2 linked regions of the Nothobranchius furzeri genome follow. The protein of the gene in region 1 interacts with the protein of each later gene in a biochemical or structural test. Links are inferred from orthologs where the notes say so. Each region holds a gene or a part of one and is shown on either strand. Other genes may lie near its edges.

Region 1 (3,657 bases):
TAGGACATTCTCCCTTCTTACTTTTATTTGATTATGCGAAGGGATCCCAGGTCTTGAATGTTTCAGTCATGCTTGATGCACCTTTCTTGTTGTGTTCACTGATGAGTGTTTTTCTGTCTGTCTGTCCGGTTTAGACGGCCCACTCCCTGACCCGTCAATGGTGCGTCCTCCTGGACCCAATCCGATGGTTCCCAGGATGCCAGGCCCAGGTACAGAATCTGTTCTGAACTTAAGACTATTGTTCTAGAAATGCTCCAAAAACTCAGCTGCTGATCAGAACCTGCCCATAAACAGCATGATCAGCTTAATCAGGCCGATTACAAATTCTGTAGTTGTTTTGATGAATGAATAAATAAATAATGAAGGAATAAACACAGCATTTGCCAAGCTGGAATGATTGTCTTCAAGTCTGTGAACTCACCATCGCTACAACAAAACTAATTTACTCTAACAATAGCAGATTTTAAATCTGAAACAATTTTCATTCTAGTTTATTTCAACCTCAAAGCAAGTATCTTGCTAATTATTACTGATCAGAATCTGTTTACTGGTCGGACACGGGGGTGGACTGGCATTCTGGCACTGTCACGGTGGGGCCCCCCACCCACTCCTACATTTGGTGGAACCCCCCCCCCCCCCCCCCCCCCCCCCGCAAGACCGGCAGCGTAAACAGAGCGTGCACGAGGATAACTGGGCGTTCTCTCTCATGTGCATTTTTTAAAAAAGTGGTGAGGGCGGTTCTTTCCTGAAATTCAGAAATATCCTCTGCCACATACATTAAAGGCCAAAAGTTTGGACACACCTGTCTCATTCAATGTGTTGTCTTTATTTTCATGACCATTTACATTGGGAGATGTGGAGTTATGTACTTAGCCCAAAAAGGTAAAATAACTGAAAACATGTTTTATGTTCTATTTCCTTCAAAACTGCCACCCTTTGCTCTGATTACTGCTTTGCACACTCTTGGCATTCGCTTGATGAGTTGATGGTTGCACACGTTCCCCTGCTGTTTCTCACCAGTATCAGCTGATGGAGGGCTCTAGTTTCGTTGCGCCGTTCGTGTCAGCGGACACGGTAGGGTCGGGGAGGGGGGCGGGGCATGACGCTTAGCCTGGCTGGCCGCCAGGCTTATACAGCGCTGGGGGAAACCCTGCGTACTGTGCAACCCAATATTTTTTATTAACAAATAACAATCAATAATTATTTATTTGCATTTTCTTGAGCCAGTATGTGCTAAAATTACCCTTAATAGGGTTAATGAAATGTCACTCAGACCCCCACCGCCCTCTGTGGCCAGAATTTCACATTTGCAACTTCAGAGTGCCAGTCCGGTCTGCTGGACTTAGAAAAAATTTGAGCTTACATACCTGTCGCTGCAGCCTGGTTCCAGTATGTTTTAGATCAGGAGCACAAGTGATTTGTTTGATTTAGTGATGAACCACTCCTGTAGACACTGAGGAAGGCTGGGGAGATGTTTGTTGTTAGATTAAGGTGTTAAAAAGACGAACGCACAGCGAGGAGATAGGTTTTGCTTTCGATTCCACAAAAGGACACTAGGGGGTGCTAAACGTAAGCCAAAACAACCTAGTCTCGCCTGAAATGTTTTCATTAAATGTTCCTGTTACATCTGGAAAAGACAGCGATCCCTCCCTGCACACCATAGTGCTGCTTTTATTGATAGTATCAATGATTATTGCCATCTCATCTGACCACTTTTTAAAATGCTTTCATTTATTTAATTATTGATATTCACTGATTGCTCTGCGGCTCCACAGCTCACCGCTGTAGCAGCGCAGAGCCACTCGAAGGGAATAAAACAATTTTTTTTGTGCCTACATCACGCCCCAGAGCCTGGATTTCCATCTTGGTTGTCATGGTTACCTGTGACATCCTGTCAATAAGCATGTTTATTTATATGCACAAAATTCATCATGCAGCTTACATTGTCCATTTATTATTAGAGAGTGGGTGTGTAGAGGCAGGATGTAGTCGACAAACACCTGAGCACATTTGTTGGACAGCTGTGATTTTTAAAGCAGAAACAGAGTGGAGCCGTGCTTAAAGTAGTGCTAGTCTAAAGTAGAGTAAGTATTCTTTGCAAAGTTTTATAAATGATGTCCCAAACCTGGTGTATCCCAATACTTTACCTCAACTGTTAAAATCAGAAAAGTTGGCGTCAAAATGAGGCAGTTTGTTCTTCTATGTTAAATATTGCTTAGACAATAATAATGTCTCAGGTACAGCATAATCCTCTGTAGATTCTTCAGAAATTAATCTATTTTGTGTGGGTCCAACCAAACTGTATGATTAAATTCACCTACACATGAGCAGCACGTGACAAAGATGATTTATTTCAGTAATTCCATTCAAGAAGTAAAAGTTGTTAGATTAATTTATTACACACAGACGGATATTTTTCAAATGTTTATTTATTTTCAAAATCCATTCAATAATCCGGGGGAAATTCACAAAGAGGTGACTGCAGCTGCAGTAGGGTTGCAAGGACTAACCGGTTTGACTCGCGTTAGTGACTGAACTGATTTAACAGTAATATTAGAACAATCCAGTGAACAACGGTTCATATTGTGTTGTTCTACGTTTCCCCCAAATCTGAATACAACAAGCCTGTACTGCAAGCCATTTTAATATTTAATCAACTACACCACTCTGTGATTCCTGTTCTACTTAGCAACTGTATAATTCATCATTGTCCAAATAATATTCTTACTGATGAAAATTCAAAGGATACGAATAAATAGAAATTATATTTAAGTAATAAGTAATATTCATAATGACAGCTACACTAGTAGGAATTTAGCATTTTAATTCATGAAGGTGTCTCCATCCTTCAGTGCTTACCCTGACCAGCTGTCGACAGTTGAACCTTTTTGTCTTTTTACAGAAACTCAAAAAAGCCTATTAGGCAAGTATAATTAAAGGTGTGGTTCACTGAAAAAACATTTTTAGTGATTATTTCTGATAATCAATCACTCGGGTTTTCATGCAGGCTGAACATGAAAATAGTCTCCTACACCTATCTCCTGCACCAGCACCTGAATTAACAGATCACACTGTAAGTGGCTTTGGACAAAAGCGTCCGCTAAATACATAAATGACAGGAAAGAAGACGATCACACCGTCAGGTGAAGAAATGCTGAGAACGATGCTAAACACTGTGAGGTTCAGGATGGACATTAAACACGCCTGAAATCTTAATCGTGATCAGAGGTGTTGCTACTGGGCAGGAAGAACACACACTCGGTGTTTAGTTTATTATCAGTCTGTGCATTTGAAGTGATAACATGTAAGAGGTCTAAAGTAAATAAGTGTTGGTTTTTATTAGTAATTTCTTTCTTGAATGTGCAGTCCAGACAACTTGTTATTAATGTGGGTGTAATTTAAAGAGAACTGTGATCTCAGTCATCAATGATGAAACACCGATTCCCAATTTAGCAAGAATGGTGCGCTCCTCAATCCTCATGATGCTCTGGCTATCTTCTTAGGTATGAACCAGTTCAATCAGATGGGGATGCAATCTATGGCTCAGAGGTCCACACCGCCTCTGCCCATGGGAGCACCTGGCAACCAGGTCAGTACTTGGCACACTGGAATGTTTTTAAATTTTATAAAAGTATTTTAGGGTTATTAGTAGTTTAA
Region 2 (3,657 bases), on another chromosome or scaffold:
AGGCAGAAAAGACTGAAAATCAGGCACACACAGCGAGCCATCTGCTGAGCAAGCGGCCTCGAATGACTGTCAGCTCAGCAGTTTGCTCTCGTGTGAGGCAGCCCTAATATGGCATCGCCCAGAGATGTAGACCTGCTCCCATGTATTTTGTTTCCAATTTTTATGGTTATATGTTATGAATCCACCAATATTGTAATTTTATTCATTATCAACAAGATTTCGATAATGAATATATATAGTGTATATATAAATATATATATAATTTTAATAACTAGCATATTTAACCTATGACTCATGATTTAAAGATTTTGTGAAATGCCTTGAAATGACTCGTGATTTGGCACTATACAAATAAACTTGAATTGAATTATAGACTAAGGATCCCACAACCTGGCCCTGGATAAGTGGAGGAAAACAGATGGATGGAGATTTAACAATGTATCACCAAACTAGATGGTTTTGAAAAGAACTGAAATGGATCAGGTGAAGTCACATTTGAGTTGTCCAGTAGTCAGGTTCTAAATAAAACCCAGACGTACTGAAGATATACGTGTTATCTTGACTTGGTGATAGTCTTTCTGCCCAGTTTACATTGTCTTGTTTTCATCACATCAACCTTGCTGAATCCATATTGTTACCAAATGATTGATGCACGTTTTTGGAAACAAGCTTCTCCACGACTAAACCTATGTCAGTTGTAGCCCGCTGATCAACGCTCTCGGCTGACCATCAATAACTGCGGCTGGCTGCAGAGTGTTGCGGACCAAGCGGCGAGCGTCATTGAGAAGAGAACTGTTACAAGATTTGGGCAGCTACGAGCAGCCGTGGTCCACAAGTATTGAGAGAATCAGAACTATGAGCTGCAAGCAGCCCACTGCTTCCATATTTAATTCGTTCTCCATTTCCTCATTTTGCTTTTCTTGTTACAGACTCGATGGGTTGGAGTCACATGACTATGTGACTGGCTGTGACGTGTACCCCACTGGTCTGTGTCGCAGCTTCTTAAAAGGGACATGGACATCAGCAACTGACTCACATTTATAAATAAATGACGTTGGTAAGAGTTATACATTTGCGTAACGGTAAATTTTCGCTTTACCACCCAGCCTTAAGCCTGGTTTATGCTTCTCCGTCAGCTCCGCAAGGGACAGACACGCACGGACTGACGGAAGCGTTTTGCTCTTGTACTTCTCCGTCTCCTGGAGAGTGTTGCAAAGCAATTGCCCTGCAGGACAACAGAGGGCGTAGCGCTGTTCTGTGGTTTCCTGTCATGCATCGGTCCAAGATCGTGTGTTTATATTGTGTTTTTTGTGTATATAAGTGACTTTTAACAGGGACATATTTGTCTCTCATTCTCCCACCCCTTCATGCGCTCCCCACCTCTAAACCCACGTTTCCTGTCATTTCCGTCCACAAATAAAATGCTTGCTGCGCATCTTTTCACTCCTCCAGTCACGGGAGAATTAAACGTTCATATTTTTAGAGTTTTTTCGCGAGGTATTCTTCAAGCTTCTCCGTGTCTGCCGCTAGTTTTCCTCGGCTCTCTTTGCAATGGCGGCGCTGTAAACAACAGCGGCATCCTGACCAATCACAAGCTTGCGTAATCCGTCTCGTTCGACGGATGTTTAAAAAAGTGGGCTCGACTCCGTACGTACTTGCGTGCCCTACGCAAGTACGGATAATGGCGTTGCGTGTCTCCGCACTGACGCAGACGGAGAAGCATAAATCAGGCTTTAGTCTACACCGTCCTCTGGTATGTTAGGCTGATGCGGAAAATCTCCAAGCAGGATAGAACATTTATTCCTGCAGCTCCATATCCAATTATAAGAGATACTCTGGCATGTTCTCACTAAACACGCAAGCATGAAAACTTTTTCTCACCTGTAAACTGACTGACTGGCTGCTGTGGAAAAGGATTCTGATTGGCTGGTGGTCCTGGCTGGTCCTGGTACTGTGGGGGAGGTCGGGTCAGGTGTCGCTGCAGCTGCTGTTGCTGCTGCTCCTGTTGACGCTGCTTCTCCTGTAAAGGGTTCATGAGTCAGGATCATGAATGATTTACAGCACACCAATAAACTACAAAAAACATCTTAGAACAGAGAAACTTGAGTTAAAAAAGAACCACAAGCAACCATAAAAGAAGGATTGCTGCTTGGGTGGATAAGGGGAAAAAAAACGTGGCATGATGGGAAAAGTGAACAAGCTTCTGATGGCTCCAGCTGCCTCAGCAGACACTCTGGTCAGATCTCCAATGAGGGCCAGCTCCCCCTGGTGTCTGAGGTTAAAAGTCAGCTCAGAAACCTCACAGTAAGCACAAAGTGGAATCACAGGTGAGTCTCACCTGTTCAGCCATGAGCTGCCTCTGCACATACTGCTGCTCCAACATTTGATGCTGCTGCTGCTTCAGTGCTGCTGCCATTGCTGCCTGTTTGTTTGAGTACACAGCGTTATTACGTTTAATGGACAAGGCGTTCACTCCCTGCGGCGCCACCATGTTATTGGGCCCAGGCGTCATGGTGTTGACAGGGCCTGTGCCGTGTGGAGGGGCAGGGTAGGTGTTCTGGTCCTGTAACAAAACAAAAAAAAAAGATAGAAAGAAAAATGTAATCACCTTTAGACAAATACTTCTCTCACCTGTAAACTGACTGACTGGCAGCTGTGCTTATTCAATCAGAATAAAGATATCAGAAGTCTCCTGACTACACAGCAACACTCGTAGAAGGAGAAAAAGTCATCTTTAAAACTTATTGGGGGATTTTTAGTACAAGGGATAAATATTCAATATCCAAGTACAGTTCTCTCAAATAGCTGAACTCCTGATTATCTCTAAACAGTTGATCAGTCTGCCTAAATATGGCCTAGGACAGATTATAGCGTGAGACTGTAGAACAAAGCCTAACCTCTGTGTGTGTGTGTGTGTGTGTGTGTGTGTGTGTGTGTGTGTGTGTGTGTGTGTGCGTGTGTGTGTGTGTGTGTGTGTGCGCGTGTGTGTGTGTGTGTGTGTACATACCTGTGAGTGTGGTATGTGCTGAAGGAAGTTTATACCGTTGGGTTTGGATTGTGGTTGCTGTGGGCGCACCAGACCGAGGGTCTTGTCTTGGTTCTGAGCGTTGGGGGCTCTCGGTGGACCCGGTCCTGCCTCGTAGTGCGACAGAGGTCTAGTGTTGTGGAAGTTCAGGGACACCTGAGTACCTTGTCCTGAGGGGTGGCTAAGTGGGTGTCCTGAGGTCAGGGAACCAAGCATGTTGGGGTGCCCGGTAGACCCCTGCATGCAGCTGCCTGCGCCAGACTTCGGCGAGCCTTTGTTGGGCTGAGAGGGCATCAGCAACTGCTTTGAGGAGTTAGAAGTGAAGTCAGGAGGATACAGGGAGGGGCTCTGGGAGCTGTTGGACATCTGGGGCCAGGGAGGGGGGTTGTGGAACTTGGTCCCCATCTGGGGCTGTTTGTGCTGCTGGGCTCTCTGGTTCTGGGCTGCCATCTGTTTCAGCTGCTGCGCCCGGGATACGTCTTTGGTAACCAGGGGACCCGGAGGCATGAGGTGGTTCAGTGGAGGCTGCAGTGGCCTAGAAGGAGGAGCTAATGGGGATGGTTGCACAACTGGAGAGGAAGCAGAAGAGGAAGCCACAGGGGAGCTGGTCGGGTGGGGAGGTGGACCAGAGG

The links.
Region 2: the proteins of ep300a (region 1) and maml1 form a complex in vitro, tested with the Homo sapiens proteins (2 studies listed by BioGRID). The link is inferred for Nothobranchius furzeri from reciprocal best matches to the Homo sapiens genes EP300 and MAML1.

The regions. Positions count from the first base shown.
Region 1 is NC_091756.1:27,967,192-27,970,848, reverse strand, and holds part of ep300a (histone acetyltransferase p300), read left to right. Parts: intron 1-134; coding exon 135-209; intron 210-3,503; coding exon 3,504-3,589; intron 3,590-3,657. UniProt on the Homo sapiens protein: Functions as a histone acetyltransferase and regulates transcription via chromatin remodeling. Acetylates all four core histones in nucleosomes. Histone acetylation gives an epigenetic tag for transcriptional activation.
Region 2 is NC_091741.1:65,499,861-65,503,517, reverse strand, and holds part of maml1 (mastermind-like protein 1), read right to left. Parts: coding exon 3,008-3,657; intron 2,564-3,007; coding exon 2,339-2,563; intron 2,021-2,338; coding exon 1,882-2,020; intron 1-1,881. UniProt on the Homo sapiens protein: Acts as a transcriptional coactivator for NOTCH proteins. Has been shown to amplify NOTCH-induced transcription of HES1. Enhances phosphorylation and proteolytic turnover of the NOTCH intracellular domain in the nucleus through interaction with CDK8.